Linked DNA regions of Oryza sativa Japonica Group. The protein of the gene in region 1 binds, or shares a complex with, the protein of each later gene. Links are inferred from orthologs where the notes say so. Each region holds a gene or a part of one and is shown in the gene's direction. Other genes may lie near its edges. The genes, in order: PWWP domain-containing protein 1 and WD-40 repeat-containing protein MSI4.

Region 1 (6,445 bases):
TTGGGGTTGATGTGGTTTGTCACACGATTATTATAGAATTGATTCAAAATGAAGTAAAATTTGACAGATGCATTGCAGCAACCAATCTTGAGTTGTCGTAGATTCATGGGTATTGCCATGATCTCCAATTTGATATCTTATTTTTTCCAAACAATTACTAAGGGTACAATGAGAACTTATTTCCCCACTACCTTGTAGGAATATTTTTTTATAAAAAAGATTAGGGCCTGTTATTATTCGATTGTGATTTTGTTTTGTCATGCTTTTATTCATATATCTCAATTAGAGATTTACGTGCTACTTAGTACTTGCTGCAGTTTATAGGCCAGGCCTCAGTTCCTAACTTGCTATATGTTTGGAAATCGTGAGGTCCTCTCTTTTCCTAACATTTATGCATCATTTTTCTGTTCATTGCCCATGCACTTCAGATTGTATGCTTGCTGTTTGTTTTTTTTTTCATCCCTATAGTTTGGCATTTAGACATGTGCAAGCAGTGCACAACACAACATTTGTTGGTTAAGCGTAACTAAAGTCATGCATCATAAAGGACTACTATAAATATTGGTTAATGTACCTGATAAAACAGAGTTATGAGAAGTGAATGTGATTGGGTTTCTCATCTGCATAACATGTTTTGTTCTGGATGCACTATTCCTTGTTCATTGATGAAGCAGGCTCTGAGGTAAGGTGGTTGAGTTCACCTTTACATTGTGAAGGAAGGCACCAAGTTAAGATACGTATGACTACAACATTTGTTAGCCGTGCTTGTTGGTTATTATATTTATTAAACATGTATAAAATGTATGAACATTAACTACGTATAAGTTTCTTTGCTGTTATTTTAGATGCATCTAGCTGAACCATTCGGAAGCGGTAAATATGATTAGGATTTCTGTTCTTTATGAAAAAGGGTAATTCTCAAGATTTGCGCATAACATAACAATCACAAGAAAGGAAATCATATAATTATGTATCGTCAACCTAAAAAATATATAAACGAAGCATTCTTTGCAGACTCCAAGTTTATAAGTCTGAGAGATCCATGCCTGGAGTAAAGCAAGGTGCATCTAGCTTGCACTAGGATCAGAGGTTCCAACACCATCAAATAGTGAGGGTACTGAAAGGGGGATCAATCTTTTGCCTCTCCTGTCCATGTTCTTGACCACCACTAGTGTGTTTAAGTTGCTCCTTCGGTTAGAAGCCCCCCTCCATTCTTCCCGTGATCACAAATCCTTCATATTGGAATTGTCTCTTCATATTACCTTCTGCTGCTGCTGTCCTGTTCCAGTGATTTACTTCCCTTCTCGTCCTTTTCTTAACTCGACTAGTTCCTTTCTTAAGATGATGCCTTCAGCTATTGCTGCTGCTGCTGCTGCTGCTGCTGCTGTCCAATTCCTGGAATTAACTTCTCTTCTCGTTCTTTTGTTAACAAAACTTGTTCCTAGAATCAATGCTAGTTCCTTTCTGAAAATGATGCCTCCAGCAACTTTGCTTTGCCTTCAGAGTTCGTAGCGGTTATCATAGGTTCCTTTTGCACAGAACAGAATGATTAGGGAAACACTAGAGCCTTCAGTTCAGTTTAGTTTAGTTTATTACTCTTTCCATCCGAAAATATAAGATGTTAGGACTGGATGGGAGACATCCTATTACTATGAATTTGAACATGATGTTTAGATTCACAGTGCTATGATGTGCTCCATCTGATCCTAGTACCTTATATTTTGGGACGGGGGAGTACTACACTAGAGCCTTTTAGTTTAGTTTATTTTTGAAAAGCTAATCACAGTGCACAAAAAAACTGAACCTCTCCGGTTGCCACCAAGAAATAGCTCCCCGCGGTTTTGCTTGTTCTAGGCGATGCTTCTTCCTGCCCGGACAAATTCTCCTCTTTCCTAGGAAAAAGCAAAGATTCCATGAATTGAATATATAGACACCCCTTAGGTTGAAATTCATCCGAAATTCGAAACGAATCCACATAAGATTATTTCAGTAAATGGACATGAATAACATTAAATTACAAATTCCACCTGAATTCTCCATCACTCTCTTTTGGCGAGATGGTGATACCGAGTCACATGGAAGCTTGGAAAGACGTGGAGAGCCAATGGGGGTTGGAGAGGCATCACAGAATATGCTCCTCCTCCGTTAGATATTTGGTGGCCGATGAGCGAGACAGACGCCAGCATTTGTGCCGTCCAGGAGCAAAGCACTGGTGAATTTTGTCCTGCCGTGTCAGTCGGACTGTCACCCTGTCTTGGCTTAAATAAAAAAGCTCTTGAAGCATTAAACCCCCAAAATGGATCAACCAATCCTTGCCTCTCTACTCTTTAGCCTTTCCAATTTTCTGCGTTAGATAATGATCAATTGACAAAGAAGAAAGTTAAAGGAGCTCATTGGCTCTCTCTGGAGCTATTTTTCAACTAGACATAATAATTCATGGAAGGGAATGAAGGGATTTCCCTTCAAGAAGAAGATCTCACTTTGCATGGCAAATGAGACCAAAGGCGAATCTCTTCCTGCCACAAACAAATCCCAAGACCAAGAATATAGGTGACGGTCACGTAGTAGTAGCAGCATTGGTAGTGGTCGTACGTCATTACTTGCAATTTGCATGTGCGTCCACGTATGTAGGCACATTTTCTTTTTTTTAAAAAAAAAATTCTGATACATTGTGTTCGCTCGAGAGAGAAAGAGAAGCCACTACATACTCAATTCGTTTCAAAATAAGTTAACCTAGCACATTATGTGACTATCCTATTTAAATTTTAAAATAAATTAACCTAATACAGTATGTGACATATTCTATTTAAATTTATAGTATTAGGATATGTCACATTCTGTATTATTGTTTTGGGATAGAGGGAGTATAATATTTTTCTTTTCGCCATAGAAAAAAAATCACTGTTTCTTTGGTTGGATATTAACCTGGCCCAAAGAGAGAATCCCAGGAGAAGCAGAGTCGCCAGCACTCACCTTTTGCATCCACCGACACGGATGGACGGCTAGGATGGATCTACCGACGGTCTGGATTGCGCGCTGGAAGAGTCACCCATCTATCCTCGCCAGTCGCTGATTCTTTTTTTAATTTTTGGCATTGCTACACTTTCTTTCTTTCTTTCTTTCTTTTTGCAAGGTCTTTTTTGTGTGTCATACACATTGATTTGTCAAGGAGATGAGTAACAAATAAATATAAATAAAAAGAAAAAAAATCAGGATGCATTTCCCTTTACTACTCTCCAGCTCGTGCTTTCTCATCATTCTTCTTTTTTCCCCCAAGAGTGAATTGCACTTGCACGTGTTCTGTTACACAGTATCAGTGAAAGGCTTAATTTTTTTTTCTTTTTGTTGAGACATGTGGCAGTCAAAGCCTTCATAAACGAACGAAATGTCATGATGTTTTTTTAAATCTCTCTAGGCAAGAGACGTGTTTGGTGGGACCGGAAAACACAGGAGGAACCCCAGGATGATCAGGGCGAGTCTTCAAATACAACTCCTGCAGGTATTGTACTGTACAGTATATATACGACTGTACATATTCTTCTCATTTTTATTATACTTGTATTATTTTGTATTTTACATTTTTCTTCCTTCCAAAAATCCAATTTCTTTCAAAACAAAAAAAAACCCCGACTATTTTAACTCAATCACAATATCATTAGTTAAATTAGTTTATTGTTGTTTTATATATTTCAAATACAACTTCTGCAGGATTGTAATGTACAGTATATACGAGTACATATATTCTTTTCATTTTTATTATACTAGTATAGTACTTTGCATTTTCTTCCAAAAATCCTATTTCTTTCAAATCCAAAAACACTCGTCTATTTTAATGTTGATATAATTTCCACTAGCTCAATCACAATATTTAAATTAGTTTATTGTTGTTTTATATTTCATATATATAAAAATGGAAAACCATTTGCGTTGACTTGGTCTTGATGTGTGGCTACGATGCGTTTGCAGGTCGTCCGGCGAAGGGCCGCAAGAAGGCGGCGGAGAATCCCGGCGGCCGCCGCCGGAAGGGCAGCGCGGCCAGCACGGCGGCGAGGCTCATGGAGAAGATCATGCCCAGCGCGGCGGCGATGAAGCCCAGGGCCAAGAAGAAGGACCAGTACCTGCTCAAGCGCCGCGACGACGCGCGCGCCCCGCCGCCGCCGTCCATGCCGGACGCCTTCCCGGCGGCGCCCATGGCCCCCGCTCTCGACGACGTCCCGCCGGGGTTCCCTTCCGATCCCCCGACGCCGCCGCTCCCCAGCAGCACCCTCGCCGCCGACGAGGAGTTCTTGCTGCAGAGGCGCACTCCACCGCCGCTGCTGTCCGCGCCACCCACCCCGCTCGCGCTTCCTCCCGCCGCCGCCGGGCAGGTCGGCGACGGCGGCGCGCCCACGGACGCCGCCACCGCCGCCGCGGCGCCGAAGAAGGCGACCAAGCCGAAGAAGGCAGCCGCCCGCAAGCGCGAGCGCGAGGAACCCGCTGACGCCGCCGCCGCTGCCGCCGCAGGCGGCGTTGCCGGCGAGCCTAAGAAGAAGAAAAAGAAGAAGCTCGCCGAGCTCAACGGCGTGGCGGTCGCCGCCGCCGGCAAGCCGGGGTTATTGCCTGCTAAGGTAGACCATGATCTGAAGCAGGTAATATCCGAGCTTCAAAGCCTTCCTCTCGTTGCCTCCTATGTCGCCGGCCGCCGCAGCATCTCTGACGAAGCTCGCTCCTTCCTCCTCGCCTTCCGCTCCAAGTCTTTCAAGAAGAGCCATGAGAACGATCCACCCGAGGACAACAAGGCCTCTAAGCCCAATGCCGCCACCGCCGCCGACGGCCAGAAGCCGCCGGCGAAGAAGAAGCCGGCCGCGAGGCCCGGCGACACCACCGCCGCCTCCGCCAAGGTTGCCGGCGTCAAGCGCGCCCCGTCTGATCGCCAGGAGGAGCTTGCCACCAAGAAGAAAGCCAAGCTCAACAAGATCAAGACGCTCGCCACTGACAAGAAGGCCGCCGGTCTGGAGCTCGCCGCCGCGGCGCCTGCGGCGGCGAGGAAGAATGATGCGATCGCTGCCAGGAAGAAGGAGAAGGAGCCGGCTCTGGCTCCGGCGATCAAGACGCCATCGCCGACGGCGCTGATGATGAAGTTCCCGCCGAAGACCACGCTGCCATCGGTGGCCTCCCTCAAGGCGAGGTTCGCGCGGTTCGGGCCGCTCGACGTCGACGGCATCCGCGTCTACTGGAAGTCCCACATGTGCCGCGTCATCTACAGGTTCAAGTCCGACGCCGACGTCGCGCTCAAGTACGCGCGCGCCAACACCACCATGTTCGGCCAGGTCGCGCCCAACTACTACCTCCGCGGCGTCGAGTCGGACGGCGACCTCGCCGCCGACGCTGCACCTCCGCCTCCGCAGCAGCGCTCCGAGCTTCGCCTCATGGAGACGGCCCCGTTCAGGCCCGGGACCTCCGGCGGCAACTGCGCGCCGCTGCCGCTGTCCAGGGCCGTGCCGGCGCGCGCGGTGGTTGGGCAGCAGCCCAAGTCGATCCTCAAGAAGACGGTCACCGACGACGGCGCGCCGTCGGCGGCGGCGCTCCGTGATGCCCCGCGGGTGAAGTTCATGCTCGACGCCGGGGACAGCAAGCTCGAGCCGCCGCCACCTGCAGCGCCGGCGAGCGGCGGCGGAGACGCCGCCGCGCCGCTCGCCAAGAGCGCCACCAAGTCGGTCGGGTTCGCGCCACCGCCTCTCCAGCCGCCGGCGCGCCCGGCACAGCACCCCCACCTGCAGCCGCCGGCGCGTCCAGCGCAGCAGCCTCCTCGCCCGCCGGTGACCCAGCCACTCCCTCCGCCGCCGCCTCTCCATCAGCACCAGCCATACCAACCTCGCCACACCGACGCGCTGCCGCTGCCGCTGCCGCTGCCGCCGCCACCGCCGCCGCCATTCTCCGTGCAGCAGCAGCAGCTCCCTCCACCGCCACCATACCACCTCCGCCACAGCATCGACGGAATGCACCACCAGCTCCCCGGACCACCGCTGCCGCCGTCGTACCAGCATCGCGCCGCCGGCGGCGTCGTCTTCCCCGGACAGCATCAGCAGCAGCCATACCGCCCCAACAACGACACCCAGCTCGGCCTCCCCGGCGCCGGCGCCGCCGCCGGTGACGTCACGCCGGCGTGGAAGAGAGGAGGGAGAGAGTTCGACGAGGAGTTGATGAGGGTGATGCGGGGAATCGCCAAGATGGTGGAGCCATTGACGGACAAGAACGGCAACTTCCCCTACCACCTCTTCACCTCAGCTTGAGAGAGAGTGAGCAGCGTCTCTCACAGACATATGGGCCCCACTGTCAGTGGCAGTAGCTGGGCTACCATAACCTCTTCACCTCGGCTCGAGTGAGAGAGAGCTGTCTCTCTGACAGACAGATGGGCCCCACTGTCAGTGGCAGTAGCTGGGCTGGTAGTACTAGTAGTTGGACT
Region 2 (7,182 bases), on another chromosome or scaffold:
GTTTGAATTCAGATATGCAGATGGGTCTTCTTAGCTAGAAAATTTATGTATTCTTAGTTGGATATTAAACTTTAGCATTTGCTAACCATGTGATTGTTGCAGACGGATGGGACTGTCCCTAATACTCTGGTTATTGCAAATTGTGAAGTTGTCAAACCAAGGGTTGCAGCTGCTGAACATATATCTCAGGTTTCCACTTTTTTCAGTGACCCATTTGAGTTTGTAAAATGCAGAATCATGCTACGTTTGAGATGAATGGACATAGCTGGTCCTTTTTGCAGATTTAATTGACCCGAGGTGTCAGCTTCCCATCTTAATGTAATCATTAATCAGAGATGTGGACCTGTAGTACCAACTGATAGTTTACTATGCCTAATCTGTCTTATTAAATTAATAAAAATGTCATAACTCGAACATCTAGATTTGCATGACTTCAGTCTTGTGATAGCGGTGTATGAGACTGCCTTACATTGGCCTTAAAAAGACCTGAATTAGGAATTCCTTGCACTAACTTGAAGTCTGTTTACAATGAAACTGACCGGATGTCTCTTATTTTTTGTTGCAGTTCAATGAGGAAGCACGATCACCTTTTGTAAAGAAGTACAAGACTATAATTCATCCAGGCGAGGTACAAGCTCATTCAATCGTGATTGTTGATTTCTCTTTCCTTAACTTGAGGATCATTGCCTCTGTATGAGATCTTCCATGTTGTGTGGTGCATATATTGGCTATAAACTTTAGTGGTTTAGATGGCTTGCTTTTCTTTTGGAGATAGTGCTTGAGATGTGTCTTTTATTTGTTTAACCCCGTGTCCCCGTCAACATTTATTTAACCCAATCGTTGATGTATTGTTTCTGTTTTACCATGGACACAGGTGAACAGGATTAGGGAGCTTCCGCAGAACAGTAAGATCATTGCCACTCATACCGACAGCCCAGATGTATGCCTAGAACTTTGTAGTGCTGCCCGTTTCTTGTGATCATCAATCCCTAAGCATTTCTGTGATGGATTTGTAGACTGAAGGCTTTTTTGTTCATTTGCAGGTTCTCATTTGGGATGTCGAGGCCCAGCCAAATAGACAAGCTCAACTGGCACAGATGGAGTCTCGTCCTGATTTGGTACCACCTGACTCTCGCCCTGATTTGGTATCTTTTCTTATTTTCATTCTCAACCTATATCATTTTGAGAAGCTGAAATTGCAGCTTCATCTGGTGTATCTGCACACAAGTCCTAAGAAACTGTGTTATGGAATCATAGAATATATTGAAAGGTTTTCATCTTTCATAGTTCGAGTTCCCTTTTCACACTTGTGGCTTAGTAGCTTAAACTGTTTTGACAGATATTAAGAGGACATAAGGATATTGCTGAGTTTGCGCTTGCTATGTGCCCAGCTGAGCCATATGTGTTATCTGGAGGTTAGCAATATTTTGTCTTCTTGTATGTTTAAATCTTTCTAGTTTATACCCCTCACACCTTTTGTATTTATTCACATATTGTTCTGGTGTCAAGACTTTTTTGTGTGCGCATGTGTGTTATCCTTAACAATTACCCCTAAATTATTTTCCGGTTGATATTGTTGACTTTTCATGGTCTTCACCTCTTCAGTGTTCGATTTTGATGTGTGCAAGGGTCCTTGAAGTTGAGAACTGGCTTTGTTTTGTTCTGTTGGATCTTGTACATGTGAGTCAAGATAGGTCCATGCCTAAACTAGCTTGCAGATGGAGGTGACAGCACCATTTTAACGTGCAGAATAACAAAAAGAATAGAGGCCAATCACTAAATTAGGCATATTGATTACTATGTAAACCAGCTGCTAGCTAGCTTGGGTTTGGGCCTAACTTGAATCACTTGCTAAAGTTTATAGACTTGGAAGTTTTGTTGCCAAGTTCAGGGGACACGTTTTTTCTCTCGACTCAATGTGCTGCTGTGATAACTTGGACTTCAATACGAATTGTAATAGGAAAAGACAAATCTGTTGTATGGTGGAGCATCCAAGACCACATATCTGCACTGGGAGATTCCTCGAAAACTGAATCTTCTCCAGGGGCATCAGGAAGCAAGGGAAAAACTGCAAATGATAAGGATAGTCCTAAAGTTGATCCTCGTGGTATCTTTCTTGGCCACGACAGTACTGTTGAAGATGTCCAGTTCTGCCCTTCTAGGTATTGCACCTTCCCCTTCATGTTATTAAATGTTGTCTCTCTAGCATGTGTATATGTTGTTTGGACTATGAGCTTCAGTGGTTTGCATGGCCTAAAGTTTTTGTCTTGGCTAATAGTCGTTCTTTATGATGATAAAACAATAGCAGCTATCATTATTGTGAACATCTGCTGGGAACTTGGAATGCATGCTATATTTTGATATTGTATGATCTATACTTCTATCAATTTATCTTCACAGTTTATTTTTTTTTATTTTTTGAAGTGCACAGGAGTTTTGTAGTGTAGGCGATGATTCTTGTCTTATTCTTTGGGATGCCCGGAGTGGTACAGGCCCAGCTGTTAAGGTGGTGCTCTTCTCCATTTTAAGCAGATTAATGATGCTTTACGTGAAAATGAGCAGCTCAATTCTATGCACCATGTTGAAACTGGTTTATTCTTCATTTCCAGGTTGAGAAAGCTCATGGTGGTGATGTTCATTGTGTTGACTGGAACCTCCATGATGTTAACTATATCTTAACTGGGTATGATGGCATGAAATGTTTCTAAATTCTAAATAATATGTAACATGTTCTTTAGTGTTCATTTGGTACAAGAAGCCGTGGATACACTTCTTGATAGTGGGTTTAGCTATTTACACATTTGAGTAAGATGGTTTCTTTTCGTATTCAGTTCTGCGGATAATTCTGTCCGTATGTGGGACCGGAGAAATCTGGGTTCTGGAGGAGCTGGCATTCCAGTTCACAAATTTGAGGGTCATAAAGCTGCTGTTCTTTGTGTTCAGGCATGTACAGATATTTATTGTTACTATATTTTTTATGCACATTTGGTTACTGTCGTTTATTTTTTTTGTGCCTTTATGCTATAATTCAAACCTTGTGTGTTTCAGTGGTCACCTGACAAGGCATCTGTATTTGGAAGCTCTGCGGAAGACGGCTTCTTAAATGTGTGGGATCATGAGAAGGTATCTTTCTATACAATTCGTTACCATTTCAGTCATCTCTGTCATGGCCCTGCAGAAAGTTTGGAATTGGGATGGGAGTTCATGCTCCATTTGTCCCCTTCATTTCATGTACTTTTTAATAGCTTTAGATTCATAAAATTCTTTTGATGCAGGTTGGAAATAAGAAAAATCCCAACGCACCTGCTGGGCTTTTCTTTCAACATGCTGGTCATAGGTATGCTATCGTATGATGAAATGTAAAATTTTCCTTATGTGTTGTAATATGCGTAACTCAATACCATATTCCTTCAAATGCTTAATACCACATCAGTTGGCTTTTTATTCCTGTCACATTTACGAGACATTCGTTTTTACGACAACTTTAGGTTGCATCACTGTGCATTGCTTTTCTGTTTCTGCAATGAGATATTTTTCCTAAGATATTTTCATTAATTAGTTTTGCAAAATTGAAGATGGGACTTGAATCCTCTTTGAACTGGTGTTTGACTTATGCTGAGAGACACTTGTGCAATTGCAAATTTGAACTTAAGAAGCCTAAGACTTAGAGGGATAAATCTTGATTATGGTGTACTCTGTATCTTAGTTGGTAAGGCCATTATAAAGTCAGCCTGTGCTTTCTCCACCTTTGGAATAACTGTTATGGTTCAGAACAAATGGATAATCAGTACATTTGTAAGTAGATCATATTTCAGTTTTTCAATAGATTTATGCTACAGCATATGCATACAATGTTAGCTCTTTTTAGTTTCCACATGAACTGGGCACTATAATAAATTGAGGGGAAGATGTATTAGATCTTAAGGAATGATACAACTGTTATCAAAGTGATTGCTGTTGATTTTCATTGTATGTATTCCATAAATAACGTATTTTGTGATATTTTTATTGGCAGGGATAAGATTGTAGACTTCCACTGGAATTCTTCGGATCCTTGGACTATTGTGAGTGTGTCTGATGATGGTGAGAGTACTGGTGGAGGTGGAACATTGCAGGTGTGTTTCTTTATTTTTATAGTGCCAGACACAAAATGGGACTGTACTCATATTTCATTGGAATAGTGACTGCTACCATGTTGTCTTTTATCTGATATTATACGTCAGTTGTTCTTATGCATATTTTATTTGTGTAGATATGGCGCATGAGTGACCTGATATACCGTCCAGAAGATGAAGTTCTTGCAGAGCTGGAGAACTTCAAGACTCACTTGGCCAGCTGTGCTCCAAGGAGCTGAATCGTGTGACTATCTGTGTAACCCAGTCCTGTAATAACTCTAGTAGGTTTCTAATTTCTTGTCCATTTAGAATGTTCCTTTCAAATATTGGTTATATCCTCTGGTGCGGAACCCAGGCTTGTACCCTTCAAGTGCTTGTGCGACTCTTTTACCTTACTGTATCGACTCAAATCGGTAAGCTAGTGCAAACACAGCAGAGCAGAATCTCTGTGGGCAGATTATTTGGATGCTAAACATTGTTCTGGAGTCTCGTATTGGACCTAGTTGTATTGTTAGCCTGACTTGGTGACTTAATCAGATGGTTCTTCAGATAGATCTGTCCAATAGTAATGTAGCCTTGAATACGTCTGCTTGGGCTATTCCTTGCTTGTGGTATATCGTTGCACTGGATACCCCAGTGGAAGCAGTTTTCCCGCCTCTAAATCTTGTCGGATTTGAACATTTGGTCCAATGCCGCGTTGTTCTTGAGGTCGTGCGTTGTGCATCTGAGTTCATTGGTATGGTCACAAATCCAAAATATAAGTGTGCTTGAAAGTCATGTTACAACGTCACGTGGGAGCTTTAATTTGGACTATTATCCTGGTTACTCAATTGTCAATCACGGCCGATAATTGCCTCATCACCTCATGTCTCGGATGGATGCATTTAAATTGATGGGAGTCCTGTGCCCGACATGTGCCTATGAATATTATGCTGGGAGCTCATATGCTGCGGGACTTCGTCTCGGCAGCTCTACTGACGTTAATAAGTGCGCGGTTGGTTGAGTCAGGTTGACCTGCTTAGGTTCCGATCTGGCCACTGGATGGATCAGAGCAGGTCTCGCGGCACACCGGCACGTGACGTGAAGCAAGGCGCGCAGAGTCTCGCACCAGGTGGGCTGATATCACTAGCTGGACGGTCAATCCACGTGGTTTGTTCATTGCCTCGGAACGGATGTTCATCCGACTGTGCAGACTTGGTGGTGGCTCACCTGCTTCTCCTGCTCGAGCGTACGTTTCAACGCCAACTCATTGCCGCGGTTGCGTCAAAATGATGAAGCGAAATGTGCTTGACGCATTGTTCATCAGCTCATCGCAGTAGTCGGCAAGAGAAATCTCAGTACTCCAACTCCCCGAAATGCTTGTTCTATAGTCTAGAGTAGTAATCTTGTGATTTGTTCATGACACAACTTGACACGGTTTGGGTTTGCCACAGGAGAAGTTTCTGTTTTGGCAGACTTGAGACGATCAACCACTAAAATACAACAGTAAAGTATTGGATAACGGAGTATTACTAAAATACTAGTACGCTGTACACGGCATTATTTCCCTGGAGATGGAGCACCGTGGCCGGTGCAACCGACGCACGCACGCACGGTGACGCCCCTCCCTGCGTCGCAATGAATTGAGGGCTCATGGGCTTGGGGATCTCCAACCTGTCACGGTGGGTGACGGGGTGGTCGGTCGCGAGCGCACGAGGAGGCCCTCTCATACGCACGCCGTTTCTCCCATCCCCCGCAACTCCGCAAGCATTCCTCCCTCCCATCCACCACCCGCCTCCGCGCGCCGCGTGCCCTCAGCCTCCCTGTATATTTACCACGCACCAGTGCACCACGCCGAGCAGGCCAACGCCCAGCTACACCACGCAGTCACATCCGCCTCAACGCACCAAGCTCTTCCCGTGCACGTGTGGTAGGCAGAACGTGCGCGGCGATCTCGACGAAATGGACGTCGCGGCAGACGCGACAGCTTGGCCGCCGGGGTGGTCGCTGGTCCGCGGCTACTTCTCCCCGGCGACGCTCTTCCTCCTGCTCAACGTGGTCATCGGCACCATCGCGCTCACCTCCCGCGCGTCCCACCGCCGCCGCCAACACCACCACGACGAGCACTACAAGGCACAGCACCACCATGACCACCATGATGAGCCGCAGCGCTGCCATGATCAGTACGCTCCACCGCCACCCGCGCCGCTCGAGCGCACGTCGTCGGTCATGGAGCGGCTGCGCTCCTTCGGCCTCTACCGCTTCCGCTCCGGCGACTTCCCTCCCGAGTACAACCTCTCCGCCGCCGGCGCCAACGCCATCTGCGACGAGAGCGAGAAGCAGCAGGCGCAGTACACCCGGAGCCGGTCGGAGCCTGCTGCTCGGCCCGCGCCGCCGCCGGTGGAGAAGAGAGGCAAGGCGGAGAACGCTGCCGCCGCCGGCGCCGCCAGAGCGAAGGTGGCGGTCAAGAAGTCGTCGAGCTCGGAGGTGAGGAAGCTGGAGCGCGCCCCGGCGCAGGCACAGCGGCAGGTACTGCAAGTGCAACGCGCGCAGCCGCCGCCGCCGAGGGCGCCGGCCCCGGCACCGGCACGCGCCGTGAAGTCGGCGGCGAGGGAGGAGGTGGAGACCGCGCAGGTTGGGCTCGCCACCGCGAGCAGCGTGGACGCGAGGGCGGACGACTTCATCAACAAGTTCCGGGAGCAGCTGCAGCTGCAGCGGCTCAACTCGCTGCTCAACTACAACGAGATGCTCAACCGCGGCACGTAGCTCGATCGCGCGCGCGCGCTCTCAAACCGCGGCGCCGGTGCAGATGCAAAAGGCGGCTCGGCGACCCATGCGTTTAGAGTGGTCACTGTGTACGCGTTGTTTGTAAACGGCAATTAGTTTTCAATTTTGGGTGTTTTTGAAGTTCATTTATCTCGTGTATGTTCGACTCAGGTAGTACTCGAATTTGCCCGACTCGAGAGTCGTGGTAACGAGGCGCCCAGCGTCTGAATCTGTTCCGTGTATAATTCAAAGCGGAAAGTCTAGATTAAAGTCTCACTGAAACAATCAAGTATGGGATGTGTTTGGCAGAACAGCCCGTTCC

What was found.
Region 2: PWWP domain-containing protein 1 (region 1) and WD-40 repeat-containing protein MSI4 share a complex: the UniProt entries of both Arabidopsis thaliana proteins name them as parts of the PRC2 (polycomb repressive complex 2) complex. The link is inferred for Oryza sativa Japonica Group from reciprocal best matches to the Arabidopsis thaliana genes AT5G27650 and FVE.

The regions. Positions count from the first base shown.
Region 1 is NC_089039.1:2,826,105-2,832,549, forward strand, and holds part of PWWP domain-containing protein 1, read left to right. Parts: intron 1-674; coding exon of another isoform or gene 675-814; exon of another isoform or gene 815-850; intron 851-932; exon of another isoform or gene 933-1,528; intron 1,529-1,804; exon of another isoform or gene 1,805-1,892; intron 1,893-2,027; exon of another isoform or gene 2,028-2,156; intron 2,157-3,415; coding exon 3,416-3,499; intron 3,500-3,966; coding exon 3,967-6,272; 3' UTR 6,273-6,445. UniProt on the Arabidopsis thaliana protein: Together with PDP2, PDP3 and PDP6, interacts with MSI4/FVE and MSI5 to suppress FLC, MAF4 and MAF5 expression by regulating the function of the PRC2 complex and modulating H3K27me3 level, thereby promoting flowering.
Region 2 is NC_089035.1:30,090,555-30,097,736, forward strand, and holds the end of WD-40 repeat-containing protein MSI4, read left to right. Parts: intron 1-102; coding exon 103-189; intron 190-565; coding exon 566-628; intron 629-874; coding exon 875-940; intron 941-1,043; coding exon 1,044-1,145; intron 1,146-1,339; coding exon 1,340-1,415; intron 1,416-1,960; coding exon 1,961-2,162; intron 2,163-2,424; coding exon 2,425-2,506; intron 2,507-2,609; coding exon 2,610-2,683; intron 2,684-2,831; coding exon 2,832-2,943; intron 2,944-3,048; coding exon 3,049-3,123; intron 3,124-3,275; coding exon 3,276-3,337; intron 3,338-4,015; coding exon 4,016-4,115; intron 4,116-4,252; coding exon 4,253-4,354; 3' UTR 4,355-4,667; downstream 4,668-7,182. Other genes in the region: pathogen-associated molecular patterns-induced protein A70, read left to right, coding at 6,057-6,860. UniProt on the Arabidopsis thaliana protein: Core histone-binding subunit that may target chromatin assembly factors, chromatin remodeling factors and histone deacetylases to their histone substrates in a manner that is regulated by nucleosomal DNA.